Linked DNA regions of Mus musculus. The protein of the gene in region 5 purifies or fractionates together with the protein of the main gene of each other region. This does not show direct contact. Links are inferred from orthologs where the notes say so. Each region holds a gene or a part of one and is shown on either strand. Other genes may lie near its edges. The genes, in order: Atp2a2, Mogs, Bsg, Ppt1, Canx, Wwox and Hsp90b1.

Region 1 (3,824 bases), on a different chromosome or scaffold from region 5:
ATATGATTAAAGGCCTGCACCACTACCACCTAGCACAAACCACCTTCTGAAATGACAGGATTTTTCACTGTAGACAAGGAATTCTTTTGTGTATATCTTACATAAAACTTTTGTTTTGTGTTTCCTTGTAGATGTTCATTCTGGACAAAGTAGAAGGTGACACTTGTTCCCTTAATGAGTTCAGCATAACTGGATCCACATATGCACCAATTGGAGAAGTGTGAGTAAGCTCTGTCACTATGGTGACTTCTGGTTAGACCATGAGGGATGGGTCTAGAAACTGTTGCTGTTGACAGAGGTCTGACTTAGTGATGGACCTAAGATATGCCTTGCTGTGATCCCCAGAAGCTCTGAATAAACAAACAGCAGGATGTGCATAGTGACACTGTGGCAGGTCACAAGATCGTAGCCAGCCTGGACTCCGAGAGAAACTGTCTCTTGTGTGCTCTCTCTTAGACTCACACAAAAGAAACTGTTGCTAGATGGCTGACTGGCTCAAGTTAGTGGTTTTTAATTAATAATACCTTTTGAAGCCTAGACTTGCTGGTGAAGGCTTTGTTTTGTTCTTCACTTACTGGTACACTGTTGGGTTTTGATGAAAATTTCTGGTCATTCAAATTTTTTTTGAGTCTATTCCAATTTGTTCTTCCCAAACTCCATTTTCATCCTTGGGGACAGGGGGCTGTCACATGCCTACGGAAGTTCAGGGCCATGCTGGAATAGAAAGTGAGTTCTAGTTTTCAACAAATGGGAGGTAGAGTGTAAAAAGCACTTTCTCTGTGTGTGCAGCAATGGGAGTCCATCTCACGACCCTTAGTGGTGAAGGAGAGGAGGACCTTCCACAATTTGTCCTCTGACCTCCTCTGTACATATGTGCCGCATTGTGGCATACAGCTTCTGTTTAGGTTCTGTTTGTTTGTTTGTTTGTTTGTTTGTTTGTTTTAAAACTAAAGTTGAGTAAAGCTGTGATCTAGAAATGTTTTTCTCTTTTTATAGGCAAAAGGATGATAAGCCAGTGAAGTGCCATCAGTATGACGGGCTTGTAGAGTTAGCCACCATCTGTGCTCTGTGTAATGACTCTGCTTTGGATTATAATGAGGTAAGACTCCTTGTAATGTTCTGATGCTGGCTCAAGGGTAGGGTGAGTGGAATTTTATTTCTGATTTCTAGTCCCGTGGCCTGGCTGAAAAAAGGCCAGGTGCCCTTCACAGACCTGCAGCTGGGCACTACAGCTTGTTTTACTAAGATACATAGTTGTCATGATGTTCTGACCACTGATGCACCCTTTAAAGGACCAGAGTTCCAGCTACAAGTCTTTCTGAGAGTGAGGGTGAGGACTGTACTTTTTTTTTTTTTTTAAGATTTATTTATGTATGTGAGTACACTGTCACTCTCTTCAGACAACACCAGAAAAGGGCAACGGATCCTCCCATTACAGATGGTTGTGAGCCACCACGTGGTCGCTGGGATTTGAACTCAGAACCTTTGGAAGAGCAGCCAGTGCTCTTAACCGCTGAGCCATGTCTCCAGCCCCAGGACTGTACTTTTAAACACCAATTGCCATGTATCCTCGAGCACAGTCTGGAGCTGAAAGGGTTGTTTTGGTGGTGTAGTGAAGAGTGATAACCAAGAGAACCTTTTACAAGTTAAATAGTGGGGTTATTGATTTGCTTTCTTTTTCAAAGGTCATTAGAATAATAAACAGTGACCTGAAATGGTCAAGGACTTTAAATGAATAAACATCTTAATATCTGGGTTTGGTGTCTCATGGTTACACCGTCTTTTCTCACATGAACCGGGGAGGACAAGCTATTCTGCTGACATTGACTTCTTTTGACAATGCAGGCAAAGGGTGTGTATGAGAAAGTTGGAGAAGCTACCGAGACTGCTCTCACGTGCCTGGTGGAGAAGATGAATGTATTTGATACTGAGCTGAAGGGGCTTTCTAAAATAGAGCGTGCAAACGCCTGCAACTCGGTCAGTATTGAGCTCAGCACAGTATGCTGCTCTTCTTCATTACACTGTTGGTTTAACTGTTGTTCTTCGGCATTAGTTTCCTGATGGTCACAGTCAGGTACGATGGTCTCTCATGCCTATATTTCTAGAGCTCACGATGCAAATACCAGGAGAATTGCCACAAATTGTAGAACAGAACTCATTAGACAGACGACCAAATCACATTTTAAAAAACGGACCAAAACAAAACAAAAATAGCCCAGCAATCATTAGTACCTTGACATAGGTGTATCATAAGGGCTCTACCAAGGGAGCTATCCCTAGTCCTGAGAATACCCAGCCCTCCTGCCTGCATCTCAGTGTCTTTCTCTGTGCCTCTCCAGTAGCATAAAGAAAATAATTGTATGCTTTTAACATTAGAGCTGTCCCTTGCCCTAATTGTCATTTGACACCCCATTTGTTTAACTCGGGTGAAAAAAACTGTTGAGTGTTCATTCTCACTTTTTTCTTTTTGTTTGGTTAGTTGGTTGGTTTTTCCAGACAGGGTTTCTGGCTGTCCTGGAACTCACTTTGTAGACCCGGCTGGCCTCGAACTCACAAATCCGCCTGCCTCTGCCTCCCAAGTGCTGGGATTAAAGGCGTGCGCCACCATGCCCAGCTTGTTTCATTTCTGTTTTCTCAAATCCATTCCAGTCAGGCTCTTGCCTCCACCTATCAGTCCATCAAAACCTCTTTTGGATCACTTATAACTTTGTGCTGAATCCAGTGGTTAATTTGTTTATAACTGTTAAATGTAACAAAATAGACAAGTCAGCAGTTGTGGATTTTGGACCTGGAGATGGCTCCATGGTTAGAAGTTTTAAGGGCCTGGATTTGACTCCCTCCTCACCCCACCCCGGCACCTAAGAACTGTCTGTTTCTCCTGTCAGACGGTCAGAGGGTGCCCTCTCCTGCCTTCCATGCACCAAGCATACATGAGGTGCAGGTGTGCATGCCAAATTAAAATGGTGTGTCTCGGAGAGACAGCTCAGTGGTTAAAAGTACTGACTGCTCTCTCAGAGGACCAGCCAAGGTTCGTTTCCCAGGGATCTGACATTTTCACACATGCATGCATTCAGGCAAAACACCAAAGGTCATAAAAAATTAGCACTAAATAATTATTTTGAGAAATGAAAAAGAAAGCTAGAAAATGAGGGTTCTGATGTATCCCAGAAATCAACCTAATGACTACTGAGATGGAAAACAACATTTGAACAACAATCACCAAAACTTGTTTGTTAGTTTGGTTTTGTTTTTTTGTTTTGTTTGTTTTGTTTTGTTTTTCCTGTTCTGTTCTTCCAAGACCTTATTTCTCAGTGTAGCCCAGGCTGTCCTGCAAGTTGCTCTGTAGACTTGGCTGTCTAGAACTCAAGAAATATGCCTGCTTCTACCTCCTAACCCTAACCACCACACCCACCCGTTTTTCTTTTTCTTTCCTATTTTTTAGTTGAGGCTGGGGGTTCTTTTAGTATTTTCAAATGCATACAGATGACTCAAAATAGAAAATGCTGCTGTTCCATGAAGCAAGGCTCATCAATTAATCATGCAGACTATGTTTTTAAAAAGTCAGCCAGCTAACCCTGATGATATTGAAGTGTGTTGATAACTATCAAGTTCTCTATGGATTTGTTTTTAGAGTGTGTATTTTGTGGATGGGCAAGGCCAGCAGCAGGCCTGTGGTTAGCATTGCTTGTTACCAGGACACAGCCTGCCATCACTGGAAAGGAAATGTCAGTGAAGAGTTGTCTACATTGGCCTTTAAGGGATTCCCTTGAGTTAATTGAAATGGGAAGAATTCTGAACTACCCTGGTAGAAGGGGCTACTAAGG
Region 2 (4,298 bases), on a different chromosome or scaffold from region 5:
AGCAAGTTCCAAGCCAGTCAGGGATATAGACTTTGTCTTAAATTTAAAAATCAATCAATAAAATTATAGGCTGTTAGAGACAGACTTGTCTGAAGTTATAGAACTGCTTAAAGAAACAGACCCTACCTGGGCTTCCTTGTGAGTCCACTCCAGGAGGAACGGAAGTACAGAGTATGAATAGTGAAATAGCTTAATTCATACACACTTGGGTTTTAAGCTAGTCCCTCCCAGCTCTGTGGCTTGGACCCAGGTACTTATATTTCCTAGGCCACCGTTTTCTGCTTCCAGATTAGAGCTGGATAGTGATACGTAAACATAGCTTAACAGTCCCTAGCTCCTGACACTCTGGAGGCTGAGGCAGGAGGCTGTCTATCACTATCAAGCTTTGGGACAACCTGGGCTATATACAAAGCAAGACTGTCTTAACCAACATAATTTTACATAGCAAGTTGGAGGAAAACCTAAACAAACATATCCCCCAAACGGGAAACTGGCATTAGTGTGATCATATGGACAAGTGTGTAGGACCCAAAGAGGCCATCAGATCCTCCGGACGTATTTGTAAGATGCCATGTTGGTGCTGGGAACTGAACTATCCTCTGCAAGAGCAGCAAATACGTTAACCATTAAATCATATCTCCCGCTTTCTTCCTTACTCGTACTTTTTTTTTTAAAGACATGGTCTCACTGTGTATCCCAGGGCGGCCTCAAATTCACAGAGATCATCCTGCCTCTGCCTCCTGAGTACTAGGATTAAAGCTGAGAGCCACCACGTCTGGCATTTATTTATTTATTTATTTATTTATCAATCATTTTATTTGTGCTTGCGAGTGTGTGTGTGTGTGTGTGTGTAAACGTGTGGAGGTGAAGTGCGCTCATGCCACAGCATACGCGTGGAAGTTCGAGGCTGTATGCATATTTGTAGCCCTGATGTGAGGATCAGAGGACAACTTGCGTAAGTCTGATTTCTTTCTGCCACGACCTGGGTAAGGGGATATAACTTAGGTCGTCAGCCTCGCGAGCCAGCGCCGTTACCGTCGAGCCATCTCTCCAGGCCATAATCAGTAGTTAAGCAAGACAAAAGAGAAGAGGCTCAGAATGCCATTGCTTCTCTCCCAGCCCTTGAACTCCAAACCACTGACGCTTCTCACCCATCGAGTCCTGGTCTCCGTACCGAGTCAACCAGCCACAGCGCTTCCGGGCTTCGGGGCCGGACCTGACGTGAAAGCGGGATTTCCGGTGGGGCGGGGCGCTCGGGGAGGCGCGCGGCGAAGGCTCGGTCCGCTGACCGCACGGTGGCAGCCGGGGAGCGTGCAGGCTGCCCGCATGGCCCGGGGCGAGAGGCGACGGCGCGCTGCGGCCGCAGAGGGGGCGCGGCCGCTGGAGAGGGCGCGGGCGGCGGGCCGGCGGGATGGCAGGGCTGGTGGGGCGCGGGGCTCGGCGAGCGGCGCGGCCCTGGCCGTGGTGGTGTTGGCGCTGGCCTTCGGCCTGTCGGGGCGCTGGGTGCTGGCGTGGCTCCGTGTGCGCCGCGCGCTCACACTGCACCCCGCGCCGTCTGCGCTGCCGCCGGACTCCTCCAGTCCTGCCGTGGCCCCGGAACTCTTCTGGGGCACCTACCGCCCACACGTCTATTTCGGCATGAAGACTCGCAGCCCCAAACCACTGCTCACAGGTAACCCTGGGGCGGGTGAGTGGGGAGGACCCAGCAGTCTTCGAAGACTTAAGACAGCCTCTGTTGACTGACGTGGCCATTCTGCTTCCCAGGACTGATGTGGGCACAGCAAGGCGCCACCCCGGGGACCCCTCCTAAGCTCAGGCACACGTGTGAACAGGGAGACGGCGTGGGTCCCTATGGCTGGGAGTTCCACGATGGCCGCACCTTCGGTCGGCAGCATATCCACGATGGGGCCTTAAGGCTCACCACTGAGTTCGTCAAGAGGCCTGGGGGTCAGCACGGAGGGGATTGGAGCTGGAGAGTGACCGTAGAGCCTCAGGTCAGGGCATCAGGATCGTCTTTGCACAGCCCAGACTTCCCCACCCTTCCCTTTCAGCAGCAAATGCAGTATGAAATGGAGGTTGACAGCCGGGACACCAGCCTGGCTGACCATGTCTGCCATCTCCTTGTTTGTAAAGTAGATATCACAGTGACGCCTAACTTAAAAGATTGACTGAAACAATCTACGTATAATTCTAAAGCCTCTGTCATTTCCAGGAGGAATCCTGTTCAGGGCCCTTTGGCTCAGCCCACTGGGTGGATCTACCTACCCTCAGTCTTGGCAGATGTATGTTTGCCACAGTTCTTGTAATCCCTGCTGAGACTGGGTCTCAAAAAGATGTTTTTCTGATGCTTTTGTGTGTTCCTTGGTCACCCAGGCCTCAGGTACACCTTCCTTCCCTTTGGTGTCCCTGTTCTTCTACGTGGTGACAGATGGGCAAGAGGTCCTACTACCAGAGATCGGAGCCAAAGGACAGTTGAAGTCCATCAGTGGGCACACCAGTGAACTTGGTGACTTCCGCCTCACACTTCTGCCGCCAACCAGTCCAGGAGACACTGTCCCTAAGCATGGCAGGTAACTGGAGGATTGGTGCAGGGTGGTACAGGGGTGCTTGGGAGATTGACTTAGCCTGGTTTCTATGACTCCCTCCTCCCCTTCCCACCAGTGGGACTGGAGAGGCATCCCTTTCATGAATAACACTCCTTATTTGTCTTCTTGCCTTCAAGCTACAATGTCTTCTGGTCCTCCAACCCGGGGCTGCCACAGCTCACAGATATGGTAAAGAGCCGCCTAAACAGCTGGTTTCAGCACCGGCCCCCAGGAGCCTCTCCTGACCGCTACCTCGGCTTGCCTGGATCTCTGAAGTGGGAGGAGAGAGGCCCTAGTGGGCAAGGGCAATTCTTGATCCAGCAGGTGACACTGAAAGCCCCTTTCTCTGTGGAGTTTGTGTTTGAATCTGGCAGTGCGGCAACAGGAGGAAACCAAGCCTCTGGGCGGCTGGTAGGCAGCCAACTGACCCAGGCCCTGGAGAGCCATGCTGCAGCCTTCAAGGAACGGTTTGAGAAGACCTTCCAGCTAAAGGAGAAGGGCTTGAGTCCCGAGGAACAGGCTTTGGGTCAGGTTGCCCTCAGTGGCCTTCTTGGTGGGATTGGTTACTTCTATGGACAGGGTTTAGTGTTGCCAGACACTAGCATGGAAGGGTCTGAACAGAAAATGGACCCTGCCCTGTTTCCACCTGTCCCTCTTTTCTCTGGGGTGCCTTCTAGGTCATTCTTCCCACGAGGCTTCCTCTGGGATGAAGGCTTTCACCAGCTAGTGGTCCAGCGATGGGATCCCCACCTCACCCGGGAGGCCCTAGGACACTGGCTGGGGCTGCTCAATGCTGACGGCTGGATTGGGCGAGAGCAGATTCTGGGGGATGAGGCCAGAGCCCGAGTGCCCCCAGAATTCCTAGTGCAACGGGCAGCCCATGCCAACCCCCCAACCCTGCTCCTGCCAGTCGTACACATGCTAGAAGGCCATGACCCTGATGATTTGGCCTTTCTCCGCAAGGCTTTCCCCCGCCTGCATGCCTGGTTCTCTTGGCTCCATCAAAGTCAGGCAGGGCCAGTGCCACTATCCTACCGCTGGCGGGGCAGGGACCTAGCTTTGCCTACCCTACTTAACCCCAAGACGCTGCCCTCAGGCCTGGATGACTACCCTAGGGCCTCGCATCCTTCCACAGCAGAGCGGCACCTGGACCTGCGCTGCTGGGTGGCACTGGGTGCCCGGGTGCTGTCCCAGCTTGCAGAACAGCTTGGGGAGACTGAAGCTGCTGCAGAGCTGGGCCCATTGGCTGCCTCTCTAGAAGAACCTGGAAGTCTTGATGAGCTGCACTGGGCTCCTGAGCTGGGGGTCTTTGCTGACTTTGGGAACCACACAAAAGCAGTACAGCTCAAGTCGAGGCCCCCACAGGGGCTGGTTAGGGTGGTAGGCAGGCCTCCACCTCGATTACAGTATGTGGATGCCCTGGGCTATGTCTCTCTTTTTCCTTTGCTACTACAGCTGCTGGACCCCAGCTCACCCCGCTTAGGACCCCTGCTAGACGTTCTAGCTGATAGTCGCCATCTCTGGAGCCCTTTTGGGTTGCGCTCTCTTTCAGCCTCTAGCCTCTTTTATAAACAGCGTAACACTGAGCACGATCCACCCTACTGGCGAGGTGCCGTGTGGCTGAATATTAACTACCTAGCTTTGGGGGCACTACATCACTATGGGCATGTGGAGGGTCCTCACAAGGTTCAGGCTGCCAAACTCTACCATGAA
Region 3 (4,398 bases), on a different chromosome or scaffold from region 5:
TATCCAGTGCTGACCCAGGCTGTTGGCTTGTCACCTCTCTCACCATGTCATCTAGAAGCCTGAGGAATTATTAGGGTTAAATTAGATCTGGGTAAGCGCTGGGGTAACACCCTGCAGTGAGTGTCTGAGTTGGCCTAGCCAGGGAGGCCAGCCTAGTCACTCACTCAGAGCAAGCATGCGAAATCAGGGTGTGAAGTGCTTGGAGCAGCCTGAAGAGACCCTAATATCAAATTCAGCCTCATAATCAGGAAACCTTAAGTGTCCATGCCACAGGGTAGCCCTCTGAGCAGAGCCCCTCCCCCACTGCATAGTGGGAAACACATCACTGGTTGACCTGGGCCCTGCCCAGGCTGTAGGCTATGGGTCTGTTCCCAGGAAAGGTTAGGACCTGCCCGTAAGCTACACTCTGTGCTTGGCTCCCGGGCATTGCAAAGGTCTGTTTAACCCCAGGCAGAAAGCCACTGGGCCTGTGCCCAGCCAGGCTTCCTACCCAGGACAGAATAAATCAACTGCCTCCATCTCACCAGGGGACAGCTATCTGCACCAAGAGCCAGCCTCATGGAGGCACCTCAAGATGTTTTGATGGTGAAGAAGAGGGCCTGGAAAAAGTGGGTCAGAATTAACGCCGGGCACTGCTGCCAGGGACAGCCCCTCCTGTACCTGCTGATGGGGGCAGCAGTCACATGGCCCACTTCTCCAGTGGAGCTCTGGCTCTGCCCTTTGCCTGCTGTCTGGAGAGGGCAGGAGAGCAGTCCCCATGTGTTCGAGGCCTACCACATGTTCAACCTTGCCATGACCCTGAATCCCTGCCTTCCTACCTCAGCTGCCCTTTTGAGCCTTCATCAGGCAAGGATCTAAGGCCAGAATGGGCCAGACTCCAGGGTGGGAGCAAGCTGAGTGTGCAGAGCCCTGGCCACCAGAAATCCCACCAGGAATGATAATCCAGCAAGTGCCTGAGCCTGGGGTCCGGAGCCATTCGCAGGCACTGGCTCCCAGGGAACTCCTAGACCAGCCTGAAGCTCTGCCTCAGCCCAGAGGGGCAGGGACAGGTGGCCATTACAGGGATACAGCCCCTGTGGACTATGGAGAACCTGCAAGCTCACCCCAAGGAGGACAGGGACAGCTGGGGACAGCTGATAAGGACTCCTCCAAACCTAGGGGCGGGAACTGCCTCTCAGGAACTCCTCACCCAACCCTCACATGTGAGGGCGAGTCCACTCATCCCCAGCCCTCCAAGCCTACCCATCCCTGGGCACCTCTTTACCCCAAGAACCCACGGGGTCACCTCTCACCCCCTTTCCAATCCACATCCTCCAGAGACCTGAGGACATTACTAATAGGCAATGCTATCCCCCACCAACTTCATCCTCTTCTTTCACATTCCCCAAGCAATGCTGTGCTCCTTCACTAAGTAGAAACAGCAATGCAGCAGCTTCCTCCACTGAGACCTTCCAATCCTTTCTCCATCCCCCTCACATCACCAAACATCAAGGACCTCCCCCAAATTCCTAGTCACCTCACTTCCACCCATATGCCCAAACTTGTGGACCTCTCCCCAGGCACTTCTGTACCCCAAACCCTCTGAATCATCTCCCTGCCTGGTCCCCCAAGTATGGACACCCTGAAATGGTAGCTCCTCCTACTCTAGTCCCCCTAGTGACCCCAAACCTTGGAGACAGCCTTTGTAGGAAAGTCTATTTCGCATCCTCCCCTTGCCCAGATGGTAACACTAAAGTAACAGACCTCTCTAACTCCATGCCCTCCTAAATTAGGGACTGTGACCCTCACTCTGTTCCCTGAGTGGGGACACCAAGACTGCAGTTCCTTCGACTCCCAGGTCTTCCAAATTTGGGATCTCCCCAAGGTGGCAGCTTCTTTAGTCCCCAGATCTCTCCAATCCTGGAGGAAGCCACCTGCAACACTGCTGTCCCTCACCCCAGGTCCCACAAACCTCTCTCAGATGTCCTGCCAGATGTCCCTCTGGCCCATGGTTACTTTCCAGCCCTGTCTCTCAGGTGTGGAACCCTCAACGTGCTGACTTCTTTTATCTTCACTCTCCCAGGCCCCAACACCAGGAGGAGGTAAATTACTAGGGTTCCGTTCCAGCCCTGGTACGCAGGTGGAGACACCAAGATGGTCCAGACAGCTCCCTGGCCACGGACGCCCTCACTCACGTTGGAGATGTTGCCCCAGAGCCTTACTGTCTTCCAGCGTCAGGGTCACCTCTTCCCACACCTTCCCTAACTCCCCAAAACCTAAGCCAATTATAGTCATTGTTGTATCCCCAAACCTTCAGGGTCACGTCCCAGCCCTATTCCGGGAGCTGGGACAGTTAGGGAAGCGGCTCCTTCCATCTCCAGCTGACCAAAATCTGGGGTCATCCCATTCACTTCTGTAATCCAAATCCATCCAAATTACCTTCCAGCCCATGTCCTGGTGGGGACCACCACAAGGTGGCGGCTCCTTCCACCTCCGGTTCCCACAACCTTAGGACGTCTCCCCCAGAGTCCTAACCTTTGATTTGTCTCTCCAGGGCCTCATCTCTAAGATCACTCCCCTCCACCTCGATGCCCAGTCGAGGCTAGGTTCAACTCGAGGGTCACCCACAGCCACTGTTACTCCTCCACAATCTCCAAGCCTCGAGCCCGAGTAGGGAACCACCGAGTCCCCGAAATCGGAGGCTCACCTTAAGTCCGTGACCCCAGCCCGGTCCCAGCACCCCGCTCTTACCCGCCGCGCAGGCGCCTTGGCCGCTCAAGAGCGTGAAGGCCAGCGCCAGCAGCAGCGCCGCCGCCATGTCGCCTCGTCCAGGAGCTGCCCCACTGCGGCTCTATAAGAAGGGCGGGGCGCGCGCACGCAGGCACGCACGTACGCACGCACGCGGCGTCGCAGGGCGGGGCGCCAGGCACACAGGGAGTAGGCACGTACCCAGCGTCCGCCGCTCCCGCTCGCGCTACAGGAGCGGAGCGGGTGGAGAAGCGTTGGCACGTGACCACACAGGCCACACCCTCGAGGGGGTGGGGCCTGGAGCCTGGACTGCCCTTGAGCTCGCGCGCGCGCGCTCTCGCCTCGCTCGTGCTCTCCCTCTCTCCCCCCCTCCCTTACCCCCAATCTTTCCCCTCCCCTCTCCTTTCTCCCCTATCCCCGCTCTTCTCTACCCCCTCTCTCTCCTCTGTCTCTTTTTGAGACAGGGTTTCTCTGTGTAGCCCTGGCTGTCTTGAAACTTACTCTGTAGACCAAGCTGACCTCGAACTCAAACATCCACCTGCCTCTGCCTTTGGATGGAGTGCTGGGGTAAATGCCTGACCCACGATGCTCGGCTGTCCTTTTCAAAAACAAACAAACAAACAAACAAACAAACAAACAAACAAACCAAAACAAAAAAACCCTTACATTTCAGCCTGTTGGTGGTGGCACATGCCTTTTATATCCCAGCACTCGGGAGACACAAAGCAGGTGGACAGCCTAATCTATAGAGTGTGTACCACCAGGACAGCCAGAGCTGCAAGAGAAACCCTGTATCAAAAAACCAAAACCGAATAAAACCAAACCAATCAAAAACAAATTATATTTGAAGGTCGTGCACTGTGGCGCAGGCTTCTAACCCCAACATCGGGAGGCAGAGGCGAGGCAGGCATCTGAGTTTTGAGGACAGCTTGGGCTCTAGCTACGTAGCCAGTTCTAGACTAAGTTGTAAGGTCCTATCTCAAAAATGTATTTATTTGTGCTCGCTTCGGCAGCACATATACTAAAATTGGAACGATACAGAGAAGATTAGCATGGCCCCTGCGCAAGGATGACACGAAAATTCGTGAAGCCTTTAATATTAAAAAAAAAAAAAAAAAAAAAAAGGGGCTGGTGAGATGGCTCAGTGGGTAAGAGCACCCAACTGCTCTTCCAAAGGTCTGGAGTTCAAATCCCAGCAACCACATGGTGGCTCACAACCATCCGTAACGAGATCTGATGCCCTCTTCTGGTGTGTCTGAAGACAGCTACAGTGTACTTACATATAATAAATAAATAAATCTTTAAAAAAAAAAAGTATTTATTTGGGTGCTAGAGAGATGACTCAGTGACTAAGAGCACCGACTGCTCTTCCAGAGGTCCTGAGTTCAGTTCCCAGCAACCACATGGTGGCTCACAGCCATCTGTAATGGGATCTGACGCCCATTACAGATGAGGTTCTGGTGTGTCTGAAGAGAGCAACAGTGTACTCACATAAATAAAATAATTTGTGTGTGTGTGTGTGTGTGTGAGTGTGTGTGTGTGTGTGTGTGTGTGTGTGTGTGTGTGTGTGTTTTCCAGACAGAGTTTCTCTGTGTAGCCCTGGCTGTCCTAGAACTCACTCTGTAGACCAGGCTGGCCTCCAACTCAGAAATCTGCTTGCCTCTGCCTCTC
Region 4 (3,824 bases), on a different chromosome or scaffold from region 5:
CCTGACCCTGATCCCCCGTTGGTCCTTGGTGCAGGCACACAGGTTTGCAGTTAGCTAACAGCTTCCCTCAGATTCCAAAGCTTGGCGTCGCTGCCTTCTGGGTGGGCATGCTTCGCAGATCCTTCCTGGTTGGCATCTGTTCTTGACGTGTAACACGAATGCACGGCAGTATGCATTTTCTTCTGTCCTTGACACAGTACTCAGCAAGCTTTCAGTCTGGAAGCTCATGTAGGGTATGGTTTAGGTGTCTTTTTTATTACTACTTTTTTTTTTTTTTTTTTCCAAGACAGGATCTCTGTAGCCCCGGCTGTCCTGAAACTTGTTATGGAGAGCAGGGTGGCCTCAAACTCAGAGATCCAGCTGCCTCTGCCTCCAAAGTGCTAGGATTAAATAAAGGAAGGTTGCCACCCCGCTGAGAATTCTCCCTTAGTCACTTCCTGCCTGGGACATAGCGTTAGCTCTAAATCTGGGTCGTCCAGTTAAATCGCTGAGAGAGTAGATTGTGTCTCCTGGCAGGGTCCAGGGTGGAAAAAGGTAGTGACCTGGATGCTCGAGTCAGGGAACTGGGGACTCAGACTGTTCCTGCCTCAGGTTTCCAAAAGGCCCTAGTTTGGACCTGCCCACTTACCGTACATCCCCCAGTCTCCAGGCTTTCCTGGGGCTCTAGAGCATGGTTTTCTGCAATGAGCCTTCTATGGAGGGAGGTAAAACCTTTTGGCTGAGCCACATGGTTCTTACAGCCCAGCCGGCCTTCTGTTTGTATTTTTTCAAAAACATGCTGAGATCTTGTGCTGGCTCTGCGCTACTCTCTTGTTCTCTGTGCCTCCTTCAAGTCCTTTTATTTTTTTAAATTTAGTTTTAATTAATTTAATTTTTTTTTTTTTTTGGACAGGGTTTCTCTGTGTAGCCCTGGCTGTCCTGGAACTCAACTCATTCTGTAGACCAGGCTGGCCTCAAACTCACAGAGATCTGCCTGCCTCTGTCCCTATGTCTACCACTACATCGAGCCAATTTTTTTTTTTTTTTAAGATTTGTTCATTAGTTTATTTTTTATTTTTTCAAATTAGTTTTAATTGTGCACTGGTGTTTTGACTACATGCTTGTCTGTGTCCCTGAGAGAGCCAGGTCCTATGGAGCTGGAGGTACAGATAGTTGTGAGCTGCTATGTAGGTGCTGGCAATTGAGCCCTGGTCCTCTGGAAGAACAGCCTCTTAACTGCTGAACTCTCTCTCCAGCCCCACATTTATTTATTTTTATTTTTATGTATATGGGTTTTTTACCTGCATGTATGTTTGCGCACCATGTGCAGGCAATGCTCCTGGAGGCCAGAGGATCCCGAGACTAGAGTTATGAACTGTGGTGATACCCCTAGCAGCCGCTCCTGGAGTCAGAGAGCACACATGCTAGCAGGGCACTCCCACAGTCTGCACCTGACAGCTGGCTGCACTCACCGTTCTTGCACAAGTTTGGAGTAAGCACCGGCATTAAGTGACTTCCTGATGAAGTCGCAGATGTGAGAACTCTCTCCTGGGCATCGGGGGAGTCCAAAGACACCTGGGTAGGAAAACGACAGCCATGTATTACTCTAATAATCACATGTTGAGTGCCACTGTAGCAGGCACCGTGAAACAGGAAAAATAAAAACGTCCAAGTACTGCCAGTTTCCCTCTGGCAATCCGCCAGGGACCTCTGCCCCAGCCTCCCATGTGTGGCTGTTACATACAGCACGTGTGGCTGTTGCAGCACATGGTTACCTCATCCTCTTTCTGGGAAACTCATCTGGTTCCGCGTCCCCATTCCTCTCCCCAGTCATACTTTCCTCCGTGCACTTCCCCTTCCTGTGTGAATTACTTTTGACACTAAATGCAGTGCAAATGTTCCATGGGTTGTTACTACAGTGTGTTGTTTAGGGAGAGAGAAAAGAGTCTGTATATTAACAGTACAGATTCAATGGTTTCTTGAATACTTTTCTCTGCCCTCCCTTGCCACCCCTCCCCTTTCTCTTTTTATGAAGATAGGGTAGGGGCTAATAAAGCCCAGGCTGAACTCAAACTCAATCCTCCTATCCCCAACCCCTAAATTCTGGGATTCTAGGCACACACAAATGCCTTTCCCAGAATAGTTCTCAGCTGTAGAGCTTTGAATCCACAGATATGGAGCACCTTGGGTTCAGAAGGCCAAATGTGAGCTCGGGTGCAGCTTTGTGGCAGAGTTCTTGCTTCACACGTGGAGACCCTGGGTTTTATCCCCAACAATATGCGCGAGCGCACACACTGATGATAATTAAAGAAGAGGCAATGAATTTAGGAGGAAGTGGGAGGAGCTAGAGGTTGGAGGGCTGGAAATGATGTGAATATAATACATAAATACAAAATAAAGCTTTTAGAAAATTAAATAAAAAATTGCTGGGCAGTGGCACACACCTTTAATTCCAGCAAGCGGGAGGCAGAGGCAGGTGGATCCCTGTGAATTCAAGGCCAGCCTGGTCTACAGAGTGAGTTCCAGGACAGTCAGGGAGGGCTACCCAGAGAAACTGTGTCTCGAAAAACTAAAGTAAATGCATAAAATAAAAAGAATATTAAAGCCTGCATCCAAGCTTTAATTTCTGTTGTCAATCATGTTGACAATAACATACAGCATGAGAGGAGTTCTAATCCAGTGACGCGCCTTTCCCCTCAAATGGACATTTCTAAGTGGTACCACAAATTAGAACAAAAAGCCTCCACCCTAGTTAATGTTAGTTGTACAGCACAACTGTCAGAGAACAGGAACACTGTTATGTTTCCCTTTTCCCGGTAGTGCTAGCATAGGACCTTGCACATGCTGGACAACCGTATCACCATCAGGCTACACACACAGCCACACAGCTCAACTCAGTTCTGCGTGTCCTCCTAACTATCAACTGTCACTGTCACTGAGACTTTTTTTTTTTTTTAAGATTTATTTATTATATGTAAGTATGTTGTAGCTGTCTTCAGACACTCCAGAAAAGGGTGCCAGATCTCATTATAGATGGTTGTGAGCCACCATGTGGTAGTTGGGATTTGAACTCAGGACCTTCAGAAGAGCAGTCAGTGTTCTTAACCACTGAGCCATCTCTCCAGCCCCTGCGCTCAGACTCTTATCTCTATGAAATCTAATCAACTACGTAGAAGAGATGGCTACTAATGACTTGCCTGTGCTACAGAGCTTTGCAATCCCTACTCCTCCATTGGTGATAGTTACTCTGTCCCATTATGTAGAGATGGGATTTGACAAGGGTGGCTGATGCAGGGTACAAATCCAAGTACCACATCTTTTCTTCTTTTCTCTCTTTCTTTTTTCTTTTTGAGACAGGGTTTCTCTGTGTAGCCCTGGCTGTCCTAGAACTTCATCTGTAGACCAGGCTGACCTCAAACTCACAGAGATCTACTTGCCTCAGCCTCCTGAGTGCTGGGGTTAAAGGCATGAGCCACTACCACCTGGCAATACTGCATTTTTAAAAAGTAGGCAAGACTGTGGAGATCTCTCAATAGTTAGGAGCAGCAACAGCTCTTACAGAAGACCTAAATTCAGTTCTCAGCACACATGCAAGATGGCTCACAATCACCCATGACTCCAGGTCCAGAAAAATGTAATACCTCTGTCCTCCTCATGTGCCCCCCATACATGTGCGTGCACACACACACACACACACACACACACACACACGATGGGTATACATGCCTATGATCTCAACATCTGGCCAGATGAAGCAGAAGAATTGCTTAGAGTTTGAGGGTAGCCTACGCTACCAAACAAGACCTTATCTAAAAAGGAGGAGGAAGAGCAAAGAAAGAAACAAA
Region 5 (4,565 bases):
AAACTTGTAATATTCTATAATGACACACCATGAACAGACCAGAAGACTGACGTTCCCAGTCTCTTTGTGGACAGTATAGTTTAGAGCCATCATGTCCTCATTTTTATTAAAATTTCACATTTATTAATGTATGTATGTGAATTTGTATAGAGGTCAGAGTACAATTCAATCTCTTCTTTCACCACGTTGAGTTCTGGGAATTAAATTCAGGCCATCAGGTTTGGTGGCAAGTGTCCTTACCTGCTGAGCCATCTCCATTGCTCCCAAAACATTTTTAGTATATGGATCCCCCAAATACCTGAGAGTCACTTTTTTGCTCTTCTGTACAATTTTCTCATCTCAAGAACTTCCTTCCAACTCCACCTACAGAAAATTTGCATATCTATGAGGTCCAGTTCAAGTCTTTGTCAGTTTAGACAGAAAAGTTCTGCCTCAACTCCTCTACTCCTTCAGTACTGACATATTTTAACACCTCTCTGCAGAAGTCGATTTTTTGGCTTTCTTAAATTCAAGGCCATCTTGGGTAACACAAGCCAGAACTCAACCTAAGTAAATTTAGAATTTTTTTTTAAATTATGTGTACTGCCTGTGCCAAGCTGGCTTCAAATTTTCATTTTGAACATGCTCTTTATAAGGCAAATAAGGAAAGCAATTTCTCTTCTTTAAAATTAGGGAGAGAGAATTGGCGGTTACTAAATTGACCCAAACATCAAATCCTTACTGCCTTTCTCTTGGGGTGGCAGGAACAAAGCTCGTTTCACATGTAGAAAAACCTGCTGTTTCTTTCCACATTATTCAAAGCTTTGGGTCACCAAATACAACCCGAGGCGATCAGGATTCTCAAGGATCTAGCCAAATCCTTAGCCACTTCAATCTTACAGCGTTATCAGCATATTGAAAAACGAGTGGGTTATGAAAAGGCTATTTTAAATCTGCACATGGCATCACCCTTTTCCTCAACTCTGTCGCTTAGGTATGTCTGATTTTAACGACTAAAATCAGGAAACAGCACGGGCACATGGGAAAGTGACTCCATGTGGCTTGATTGTGAATCTAGGTAGTGTTTTGTTAGGTAAAGAGGTCTCAGGCTCCTGAGCTCAGGGCGATGACTCCGCAGGAAAGGCGGTGTCTGCTACCCAGAGGGATTTCACTCACTGCGCAAGCACACCGCCCGACCTCTCACCATTTGTGATGAAGGCCATAGGTCCCAGGCGGGGTTGGGACAGAGTTCCTAACTCAATGGGTCGGAAAGCCGTCTTCTGGATGTCCAACACACCCGCCCTGAGGGACTAGGGCGACCCACGCGAGAACGCGTGCCAGATCCGTCCGCCCTCCGCGGCGCGCGCCCGCCCGTTTGGTGACGGCCCGCCTTCCTCCTTCATACCCAATCAGCAACCACTTCCTGCCTCGCTATTGACCAATCACCACGCTCCACGAAGAATAGCCCTAGGGGGCGTATGGGAAGGCGCTTCGAGCGATGGCTGTATCTACCAATAAATTCTTAGATCTTGCGCAAAGGGGCGGGATCTGACGTTCGTTTTAGCCACTCAGGAACGAGGGGCGGACGCGGGGTTGGGCTTCGTGCGGTGGGGCTCGCTCGCGCGGCGGCCGTAGCCGAGGCCTCTTAGTTCTGCGGCACGTGACGGTCGGGCCGCCTCTGCCGCTGTCTCCACTGCAGCACGGGGCCGGGTGTGCGGGTGGGAGAAGGTGAGGGAGCCGCCAGTGGTCCCCGGGAGGCTCGAGGTGAGACGGGAAGCGTGTGCGGGGATCTCAGGCCCGGGACGAGCCTTGGGGGACTGGGCGAGCGGCGCCGTGGCGGAGGGGGTCGGGCGTGGCTGTAGGCTCGACGACTGAGGGGTCGGGCGGGCTTTCGAATGGCGCAGGCCTGGGCGGACGCGCAGGGCAGTGAGGAGAGCGGCCGGGTTAGAGAGGCTAGCCTGGGCAGCGCCGCCGGGGTCGGGAGGCGTGGCAGGTGTCCTGGGGTTTCCCTTGACCTCTGAGAAAGCTAACAACTTCCTACGGCTTTGCTTCTAGAGCTTTCTTAGGCCCTGGCCAGGCCCACCCAGAGGTGGGCTGAGTAATCCGGTACAGGTGTGGTATTAGAATTCGGCCTAGTAGGTAGCCCAAATAGCAGGGAAAGGTGAAGTAAATCCAGAGATAAGCGTTACAGATTAGAAAATAACTTGCCCAAAGGGAAGACTGGACCATAGCATCCTGATGAGGGAGTAGAATGTACTAGAACGTGTACCGCTTGAGAAACTTAAGGCTTAACTATTAAAGCACCTGCCTATTCGGTGGTGGATAGATAGTAATCCAGTGTGGGTGTTCACAGGACCTTAAGAGCAGGAGATACAAGCGAAAGTTCAGTTAGTGAGGGGAGGAAACTGAGGCCTAGAAGTTTGAAATGACTGGCCCAAGGTCATACAGGTAGTTCTAGTCATCCAGTTGGGATTGTAACTGAGCACTAGACCGTTTGGGTTAAAAGTCCTGGTTCAAGCACCTAACTGCAATTAATCGGGGGAGTGGGAATTTGGGAGATTTTTTTTTTCTACTTTAGGGCTCAGTCCCCAGGAGTAGACAGAATGACTGATGGGCCTTGTATTGAATTCCGAGGGAATGGGAATGAGAAATTGGATGTGTAGTAAAGGTTCAGTGGGTAGGAATCGAACTGGCTTCTTGAAATCCGAATGCCTTGGTCATTACACTGATACACTAATGTTTATATTGAAGGCCTGTGTGCCAAGACCTGAGGACACATTGATGACACTTTGTGTATTAACTGCTGGTCATGACACTAGTGATTGCATTGCTAGTTGTGTGAAGTTAAACCAAACTGAATACTAAAAGCTTGGCAAAGTTGAGCTACAGTCTCTTTACCCTTCAGAAATGGAAGAATCTGCCTGTTTTTTAAAAATAATTTGCCCTCCCACCCCTTTAAAGGGGGACAAGTTGGGTTACCTTAAAAATCTTTGTATATTTTCCAGTAACCTTTGAAAGGGCATGAACAGAATCAATTCTCATGTTGTACTTATACTGTAATTAAGCTTACAGGCCAGGCAGGGGTACACTACAGGTGAGCCAGGCCCTGAAGAACTGTATATAGTAGTGAGCCATTCACAATAGGAGTTTACCGAACTGTCTGTGAATGGGTGTCACCTCCTTGCTATCTTAACTCAACAGTGCAATTAACTCCTTAATCTTTCAAGAGCCACAAGGCATGTGCATCTTGACAACACACCTTGCATCCTTGTCCTGCAGAGGTCACTTGCCCAGTAAGAGAACTTTGAGGGAGTAGAGTGGCAGTTGCTAAGAATAACTGCAGAAGACTGTCCAGCATGATAACTTTAATTCCTATCCTTTAAAAATGGGAATGAAAGAAAGAAAGAAAGAAAGAAATGGGGATGAGTGTGCTACTTGCTTTGCCTTTGAGAGGGCAGATACTAAGAAACTGTTTGGGAAAGTGTAAGGAAATGGACAAATAGTATTGGCAGCTCATAAAAAGTCCTAAGAAGTAATTAAAGTGCCAAAGATAGTTGTAGTCTGTATAGCTTACTGTAAAACTCATTAGGAAAATGCTTGTTAAATGCTTTGTTATTGCTACAAATGCTAGGAAAGAATTTTTAGGCTTATTTAATTTTCTGTGTATGTGTGTTTTGCCTGCATGTATGTCTGTGTACCATGTGTGTGAGACCCATCATATTGGTGCTGGGAATCAAACCTGGGTCCTCTGGAAGAGCAGCAACTATGTCTTCAGCCCTGAAATTTTTCTTTTTTCTTTTTTTTTTTTTTTAAGGAATCTAGACAATTTTTATATTGTATTCTTGTCTTTAAAAAAAATCATTTTAAGATTTATTTAGGGCTGGAGAGATATCTCATCGGTTGGGGGCACTGGCTGTTCTTCCAGAGGTCCTGAGTTCAATTCCCAGGAACCACATGGTGGCTCACAGTCATCTCTAATGAGAGCCGATGCCCTCTTCCGGTGTGTCTGAGGACAGTGTACTCATATACATGAAATAAATCTTTAATATGTGTGTGTGTACTATGTACATATATATATATATTTAAAAATATGTGTATGTTGGTGTGAATATATATGCAATATATTATTCATGGGGGCCAGTAAAGGGCATTATATTCTCTAGAGTTGGAATTACAAACAGTTGTAAGCTGCCCAACTGGGAATTCAACTCTTAATCACTGAGCCATCTCTCCATCCTGCGTATTCACATCTTAAAGTGAATTAATAGGAAAAAGTTTCTTTTAAAAAAAATCACTTATTAGCTGGGTGGTGTGGTGGTGGCTCACCTTTGATCCCAGCATGAGGGAAGCAGAGGCAGATTTATCCCTGACTTCAAGACCACCCTGGTCTACAGAGTGAGTTCCAGGACAGCCAGGGCTACAACAGAGAAACCCTGTATCAAACAAAACAAAACGAAACAAAAACAAAAAACCCACCACCACCAAATTACTCCTATGTTTCTGTTAATGAAAACAAATCCAAGAAGGTGGTATATAATTCTTGGCCTAGGCCCAGGGTTCCATTCCCAACACATGAAGCAGAAACC
Region 6 (4,388 bases), on a different chromosome or scaffold from region 5:
AGAAGAAAGTAAACAATCGATTAAAAACAAACAAACAAACAAACAAACAAACAAAAAACAGGTTCAAAGGTTCCTTGCTGGGAACCAAGGCTTTGAACTGCAGGCTGATAGCGCCACCTGGCGTGCAGCTTCGGAAGCACAAGCTTGGATAGTTAAAAAATCCTCATTTCATAACTACTGTGGCGCAGATGTTTTTACAGAAACAAGATGGTCATAAAATCTCCTTAGGGTATGACTTTGTGGGTGTTGGCTTTGTCTCACACGTATTCAAGCTCCTGAAAAATCTTCTTTGCCTGGGTTTACATGCAGATAGATCCTTGTTAGATCAAAGTCAAAGCTAAACTTCCAGGAGCCAGAAATGATAAACAAATAGGGGAAGGGACTAAGTGCTGTTGTGAAGGTAGGCTTCACATTGTGGGTCTAGGATATTTATAACCAGGATTTTTTTTTCAGGTGCTTTAAAAGTCTGCTTTGCAAGTTTGTAATCAGGTGCCGCCTATGAACAAGAGAACCAAGTTATGGTTGGAAGACCATTCTCTCTTAATAGAGAATCTGGAGGCATGAGAATTTGCATGTTCTCGATTTTTGGCTCCCTTTATAGCATAGGCTGGCCTCGAACTTGTGAACTTGTGATCGTTTTGACTTACCCTCCCAAATTCTGGAGTCACTTAGTTCTCCAAGTGTAGGTTTTTTTTTTTTAAATGGCATATTTACATAAACAACACAGATTGTGAATGGAAAAATACCTGGATAGTATCAAGTCAGGACATTTACTCTCGCAGGTGTGTCCAACCTGAGGCTCGTGGCAACACGTGGCCCGGGATACTAATAAATGCTGCCCAACACAAAAATCCTAAACTTTAAGCATTGTGAGATTTTTCTTTTCTTTTTCCTATTTGGATATTCGATTGAGGGCTTCTCTAGTGTAAATTTTGGAAATGACCATGTCACAGTATCATGTCGTAGTGTCAAAAGGTTGTACACCTGCAGGGCATGGGACGAAACTGGAGCTCAGAATAATCTCATCAGAACCTTTCCCCCCTCCCCGCCCCCCCTTTATAGTCCAGTTGAGCTTGGACTACATTTCCCAGGATACTTCACTGCTGGGACTCATTCAGGATTGGGTAAAACAATAAGGAAGTGCCTTCGGGTCGCCCAGCAACGTGCAGAGTCCTGCATGATGACTGGGTAAGCACGCCCCTTCCAGGAGGCTGAGGAAGCTTATTCCAGTTTCTGAGCCGTTCCTGCTTTTCCTTCCACCCCCCACGGCCGTTCCATCTCTTCCGCGTTCCCTCCCGTGCTCTTCTCAGGCTCCGCCCCCTTTCCCGCCAGTAGCTGCAAAACCCGGAAACTGGATTACAGCCGCGGACCGGCTGGGCGAGCAGTGCGCAGGCGCGAGCGGTCTGGTCCCCTCCCGGACGCGCGCGGCGCGGTTGAAGCCAGAGTGAGTTGCTGAGGAGAGCAGGCGGCTACTTCTGTCTCCAGCATGGCAGCTCTGCGCTATGCGGGCCTGGACGACACGGACAGTGAGGATGAGCTGCCTCCGGGCTGGGAGGAGAGAACCACCAAGGACGGCTGGGTGTACTACGCCAAGTAAGCGGCCTTGGAGCGGCGTTCCTGGGAGCCGTGTCCTGCGAGGCCTGGACCCTGCGCTGCCCTGCCAGGCGGGCATGCGCATCCGAAATGCCAGCCACCTGTCCCAGGCTGTCCCCCGTTATTAGGGGATCTGGGTCAAGGTCCCGTCACCTGGCCACCCGCCGCACGCCCCCTGCCGCTCACTAGGTGGCACTGCACCGTGCGGTGGTGGCGCCTAGGTCTTACTCCTCTAAAGAGGAAATAGAGAAAACTTCAAAGCCAAGCTCCTGCCATGGGGACCTGATCTGGAGGCCCAGCAATCTGTATTTTTAAGCAGATGTCCTGGATGGCTCGCAGTGGTTTCCCAGGGAAGTCTTGGAAACCTCCACAGAGCCTTTCCCTGTTGCTAACCGTGACCTTGGGCCACTGAAAGCAAGCCCCTGACTTTTCTGTTCTCCTCATCTCTGAAATGAGCAGACACAAGAATGAATCTGTGCTGTGCACAAGGCACTCAGTGGAGAGGCTAGTAGGTTGCCCCGCAGGCGTTTTCTGTTACTTGGACTGTATCTGTGGCAAAATTGCATAGGCGTGATAGGGGATAGTAGCTCCCATAGGGGGAGCTACTGCAGCTGACTCTATGCTTGGGGACCTCTGTTCATTTTTAAGAAATAGATACTTAATGGACAAAATGCTAGGTTTTCATACAGTCTTGATCAGGCTCTGCCAGTCAAAGAATGAAAAAGCGGGAAATTCGCAATGTAGCAGGTAGCAGTGGAGAAGTCTCCAACACCTCCGACAGCAGCAGGCACAGTCAGCAGGCTGAAAGGCACTCTGTAGGGGAGGACTCGTGTTCACAGGGCAGACACACATGGAGAAAACAACTGCAAAGCCAAAGGGAACTCTGGAGCCGAAAAAATTGCAGCCTCTTCTTGAGGGCTTTGGTTTTAAGTCATTGAGGAGTTTTCATTCCCTAATTTAAGAGTTGGTCAGTTTGAAGAAAAGATAAGGGTTGGTCAACCCACATCTGTTGGGTAACGTGTCCTGATGTGGTCTCGAACTTGCTGAGCCAGTCATCAGCAACAGCTGACTAGCAGGAGAAAAAGCCCACAAGGACTTTGTTTTAAGATGCCAGGCTTTCGACTCACATAAAGAGTGTGAGGAAGAAGCTGGCTGTCTTGGAAGTTCACCACCTGTGTCACCTAGCCATGGTTCCTCTCCCTGTCTGCCTTCCAAGATGTCTATCTGCCTCCAACCCCCGAGTTTCATGGTCTCCTTTTTCTTATGAATATTGTGTACTTTTCCTGATTTTTTTCTTCATATCAAATACTTCCTCTTCTATTTTCTTATATATCTGTGAAATATTTTTAAAACAGGGTCTCATATAGTCGAGGGTGGCCTTAACTTGGTTAGGTGGCCGAGGTTGAGCTCCCATTTCTCCTGGGCAAAGTGTGCATGAACAACACACCTGACTTTATGTCTTTAAAAGCTAGGAGACTCAATCTTTTTCAAGCTTTCTATGAGAGTATCTTATCACCTGGCTTTCAGAAAACAAACTATTGTATTAACACCTGTAAGTGTATTTTTAGTTTTTAATAATTAACTTAAAAAATTATATACAGACCAGACTGGCTTCAAACTCACAGAGACCTTCCAGCCTCTGGGGTTAATGGCACATGCTACAGTTTTGTCTAGCAGTGCTTCCTGTAGCCCAGGCTTGCCTAGACTTTCTTTTGTAAACAGGATGACATAGTTCTTGATGCCTCCACCTCCCAGATATGTAATTACAGGGTTTGTACTACCCTACCTGGTTCCAGAAAGACTTAAAAGATAACGTTCTTGCCCTGTTATCAAATTAGGAACTAATGTGCCCTGGCGTCTCCCCACTGATGGGCTGTAAAGTATGAGATTTGCAGGTACTCAAAGCTACTCACTGCTGCCCCTGGTGGCCAGATAGAAAGAAACAGAAAAGCTTTGGTGAGTTCATTCATTCAAGAGTCCTTAAGGGCCAGGCCGGTGGGTGGGCATTGGTGATGTCCAGCTAAGTGTGGTGCAGCTGCCATTCTTAAGGATCTCTGCAATACCAGCAAGTGATTTCTAATGATATAGTTCCAGTGCACTGTGTCCAGCGTGAGGTGGGTGGGTGGGTGAGGGAGGCCGCCTAGGAGAGGTGTCACTTGCCCTGTGTCTCAGAGTGCTGTAGAAGGTGGCCTCAGGTGGTAGGAAGTCAGGCAGGTTGGAGGGGGCAGTGGGAGGAGAGACCCCAGGCAGCCCTCTCTCTGTGGTATAGAGTTGTAAAGCCTGAGACTGGTGAGAAAGGAATCAGTTTGCAGAGGCCCTTCTGTGCTTCACCAAGGACTTGGATTTTGTTGTCGGACTCTAGAGCCAGCCGATGATCTGAAGCCAGGGAGTGATAGTGAGTTTGTGTCTTCAGAAGGACTGAGTGGCTCTGGAGACATGAGTGGATTGTGTGAGCAGGAGGTGCTGGGGTATAGGCATGCCAATGGTCCTGCATTGGGTGCTCCTACGTGGACCTCAGTGTGTGGAGTCTCAGCCCTAGAAAACGTCCTAGACTGTGCTGCTCCAACCACCTGAACTTAGCACTGTTTCTCAGTCCTTGGCGTCCGCTGTCGGCGTCTCGTCCATTGGTGATGATGTAATACAGTTTACTTCCTTTCCGAGGGTGGATTTAAGGAAATCAAGCTTAACCTTCGAGTGCCTCCTTCAGTGCCTGGCTGTGTCCCTCACGGGAGGGATGCCCTGTCACTGGTGACAGGTGGTTCTAGCTTTCTACCCACGTTTTAAGGAGAATGGTC
Region 7 (2,876 bases), on a different chromosome or scaffold from region 5:
CTTGTTCATCCCCTTAATAATTTAACTATACCAATGAGCCACATAGTTGTGGATGCCGTGTAAATATATAATCTCCAATATGCCTTTACCAGTATGGGTCCCTAAAAATTCACTTATTTTTAAATTAATTCCAATTAAATTTCCTGTACGTTCTATACACACCCATGCTCATTAGCATCTTCCAAGGCCAGATATACCACACATCCATCTAGGGCTTAGGGCACTGCTGAGAGTCATCGAAACAGTTTGATGCTCCCAAAGGCCAGAACTACAGTGTCAATGCAGTAAGTGCTGAATGGTCAGTAACTTTCCTGACACTGACAGTTGGGTTTTAAATGGCGTTACAATGTTAGATAGAAAATATACAGCAGTTTTCTTTACGTAGAACCTAAGTCTTAGAAAGCCAGGCATGGTTTGCCACGCCTTTAACCCCAGCAGTAGGGAAAGGCAGAGATAAGAGGTAGATGGGTCTCCGTAAGTTCTAGGCCAGCCTGGTCTACAGGGTTCTAGGAAAGCCAGAACTCTGCAGAAACCCTGTCTCAAAACAACCCAAAACAAAACCAAACCCCTAGTGAGTCGTGATGTAAATATGGACATTATTCGTAATTACTCTAAAGCAAACTAAGGAAGCTCAGGATGATTCATGTAGCAGATCAAGAGAATAAGAGCTGGCATCTTGGTAGGGACATCCCGTTTCTTACTTTGTAGAGATGTCCTTGCCCGTCTGGTATGCTTGTGCCTTCATGATCCTCTCCATGTTGCCAGACCATCCATACTGACTGGCCACAAGAGCACAGGGAGACTCTGTGAGGCGCTGCGACACCACAGCCTTTTCTATCTTAGAATGAGAAACGTTAGACAGAAGTAAGGATCAGCAGTAAGCAGTGCTAGTCACCATCATAGAGAACAGACAGAAGGACTCAGGAATCCTGGAGGGACACTCAGTCAATCTGGATTTTCTTTCAACTACAAATTTATCTTTAAACCTGTAAAAACTTAGTACAACATCAGTATATAGCAACAGGAAGCTTCTTGGCAGGGATGGGTGCCAGGGTCTTCAGCACAGCAAATGAGTCTGTCACTGAGCTACGTCTCCAGGTCCCTGCTGTTACACCCGAGGTTACAGGTGAGGCACATGCCACTGTCTACAATCGCTAGTGGTAATGAACAAACTGAGTATGGATTAGCATGCTGATAATTCCTATGTGCAGACACTGAAGTCTGCAAACCCCAAATACCTTGTCCTTGAGGGCCTTATCTTTCATCCAGTTGAGCAGAGGTTCAAACTCCTTCTCTGTTGCTTCCCGACTTTCTTTAGTTTTCTCACTCTCATCAAACTTCACCCCTTCTTTGGCAACATTCTGAAACCTCTTCCCATCAAACTCGGGAAGAGCCTGAATGCAGTATTCATCCACAGGCTCTGTGAGATAAATGACTTCATAGCCCTTCTTCAGAAGTCTCTCAACAAATGGAGAAGATTCCGCCTACAAGATTAAAAGAAGTATGTGTTTTCAAGTTCTGCCTTGGCACATTAGCTGTGTGAGACAAAGACTAAAGGTAGTGTCCTCTGGTGTCTGCCTAACTATCCCAGCTACACAATTAACTTATTTCCTCTCCCACATTGGCTGTATGCCTCCAGCTCCCAGGGACCCTAGCAGCTGCACTTCATCTTACCTCCTTTCTGCTTGACCCAGCCATGAAGTAGATTTTGTCCTGTTTTTCCTTCATTCTTTCCACATACTGGTCTAAACTAGTAATGTCAGTTGAATGGTGAGAAGACTGGAACCTAAGAAGTTTAGCAAGCCGTGTTCGATTTGAGTGGTCTTCAATCACACCAAGCTTGATATTCGTGCCGAACTCCTTCCAGAAAGTGTCGTTATACTTCTCATCAGCAATCTTCTTGATCATGTCCAGAGTTTTTCGGACAAGCTTCTTCCTAATCACCTAAAGAAAATGGAATCTGGTTAGGAAGGTTTATCTCAAACCTTTGCTTCTGAGACCAGGATAGCAGCAACTGAGACAGCACAACTGCCACACCACTCAGCAAGGGACAGGAAGCACCAGGGCACTCCCACATCAGACTGTGTTAGAATTAACGACAACTGTTTCTAATATATTCCAATGCTAGAACTCAGATATGTTGACAGAATGACTAATATTTTCAAATGTTTAAAAACAAAACCCCACCTAGTCTTCTAATCACTACAATACTGGCAAAAAGGGGGCTTATTGAAAGGCCTAGTATGTGGGTGACTGTGGACCAGACAACTGGTAGGTGTGTTCCCTGGCTTCAGCTCTGTTCAAAACGGTATTCCTTACTATGTTGGGGGAATGTATCAGCTCTGAGACCCAATAATCTCAGAATAAAAGAAGTTCCTTTTTGAGATAGTCCTAAGTTAGGGTAGCCTAAAACTGCTAATAAACCCTCACTTAACTATGACCTCATTCCTTCAAGCTATTAAGATTATAGGCATGCACTGATGTGTCCAGCAGAATTTCTTTGAATAGTTCAAGACTAGCCCAGCCCTCCTGCACTTGCTTCAACATCTAGTTGCTAGAACTGCTTTCTTTCTGACTGTGCTTGCGCAAACTCACAAACACAGTGTGGTTCAAACCCAGGGTCATAAGCACAGCAAATAAATTTGACACCGAGTTACATCTCTATAGTTTCCTACTCTGTTACTCCTGGGTAACACCACTCTCTAAAATTGCTAGTAGTTACAAAGAAAGCAGGTGTAGAGTAGCTTACTGATAATTCTGACTCCAACCATCGGGCAGAAAGCCTGACTAGAAATTCTCACCTTGAGCAATTTATGTTGCTGAAGAGTCTCACGGGAAACATTGAGGGGGAGATCATCGGAATCCACCTGCAGACA

The links.
Region 1: the proteins of Canx (region 5) and Atp2a2 purify together in Homo sapiens (co-immunoprecipitation; 3 studies listed by BioGRID and IntAct, with this or other methods). This does not show direct contact. The link is inferred for Mus musculus from reciprocal best matches to the Homo sapiens genes CANX and ATP2A2.
Region 2: the proteins of Canx (region 5) and Mogs purify together in Homo sapiens (affinity purification with mass spectrometry; 3 studies listed by BioGRID and IntAct, with this or other methods). This does not show direct contact. The link is inferred for Mus musculus from reciprocal best matches to the Homo sapiens genes CANX and MOGS.
Region 3: the proteins of Canx (region 5) and Bsg purify together in Homo sapiens (affinity purification with mass spectrometry; 3 studies listed by BioGRID and IntAct, with this or other methods). This does not show direct contact. The link is inferred for Mus musculus from reciprocal best matches to the Homo sapiens genes CANX and BSG.
Region 4: the proteins of Canx (region 5) and Ppt1 purify together in Homo sapiens (affinity purification with mass spectrometry; 3 studies listed by BioGRID and IntAct, with this or other methods). This does not show direct contact. The link is inferred for Mus musculus from reciprocal best matches to the Homo sapiens genes CANX and PPT1.
Region 6: the proteins of Canx (region 5) and Wwox purify together in Homo sapiens (affinity purification with mass spectrometry; 3 studies listed by BioGRID and IntAct, with this or other methods). This does not show direct contact. The link is inferred for Mus musculus from reciprocal best matches to the Homo sapiens genes CANX and WWOX.
Region 7: the proteins of Canx (region 5) and Hsp90b1 purify together in Homo sapiens (affinity purification with mass spectrometry; 4 studies listed by BioGRID and IntAct, with this or other methods). This does not show direct contact. The link is inferred for Mus musculus from reciprocal best matches to the Homo sapiens genes CANX and HSP90B1.

The regions. Positions count from the first base shown.
Region 1 is NC_000071.6:122,464,103-122,467,926, reverse strand, and holds part of Atp2a2 (sarcoplasmic/endoplasmic reticulum calcium ATPase 2), read left to right. Parts: intron 1-131; coding exon 132-220; intron 221-996; coding exon 997-1,099; intron 1,100-1,845; coding exon 1,846-1,977; intron 1,978-3,824.
Region 2 is NC_000072.6:83,114,255-83,118,552, forward strand, and holds the start of Mogs (mannosyl-oligosaccharide glucosidase), read left to right. Parts: upstream 1-1,251; 5' UTR 1,252-1,326; coding exon 1,327-1,672; intron 1,673-1,764; coding exon 1,765-1,994; intron 1,995-2,373; coding exon 2,374-2,570; intron 2,571-2,722; coding exon 2,723-4,298. UniProt on the Homo sapiens protein: In the context of N-glycan degradation, cleaves the distal alpha 1,2-linked glucose residue from the Glc(3)Man(9)GlcNAc(2) oligosaccharide precursor in a highly specific manner.
Region 3 is NC_000076.6:79,702,917-79,707,314, reverse strand, and holds the start of Bsg (basigin isoform 1 precursor), read right to left. Parts: upstream 2,958-4,398; 5' UTR 2,798-2,957; coding exon 2,731-2,797; intron 1-2,730.
Region 4 is NC_000070.6:122,846,163-122,849,986, reverse strand, and holds part of Ppt1 (palmitoyl-protein thioesterase 1 precursor), read right to left. Parts: intron 1,555-3,824; coding exon 1,452-1,554; intron 1-1,451. UniProt on the Homo sapiens protein: Has thioesterase activity against fatty acid thioesters with 14 -18 carbons, including palmitoyl-CoA, S-palmitoyl-N-acetylcysteamine, and palmitoylated proteins. In contrast to PPT2, PPT1 can hydrolyze palmitoylated proteins and palmitoylcysteine.
Region 5 is NC_000077.6:50,322,671-50,327,235, reverse strand, and holds the start of Canx (calnexin precursor), read left to right. Parts: upstream 1-1,562; 5' UTR 1,563-1,743; intron 1,744-4,565. UniProt on the Homo sapiens protein: Calcium-binding protein that interacts with newly synthesized monoglucosylated glycoproteins in the endoplasmic reticulum. It may act in assisting protein assembly and/or in the retention within the ER of unassembled protein subunits.
Region 6 is NC_000074.6:114,438,286-114,442,673, forward strand, and holds the start of Wwox (WW domain-containing oxidoreductase), read left to right. Parts: upstream 1-1,366; 5' UTR 1,367-1,486; coding exon 1,487-1,593; intron 1,594-4,388. UniProt on the Homo sapiens protein: Putative oxidoreductase. Acts as a tumor suppressor and plays a role in apoptosis. Required for normal bone development. May function synergistically with p53/TP53 to control genotoxic stress-induced cell death.
Region 7 is NC_000076.6:86,692,676-86,695,551, forward strand, and holds part of Hsp90b1 (endoplasmin precursor), read right to left. Parts: intron 2,868-2,876; coding exon 2,802-2,867; intron 1,945-2,801; coding exon 1,675-1,944; intron 1,485-1,674; coding exon 1,239-1,484; intron 839-1,238; coding exon 702-838; intron 1-701.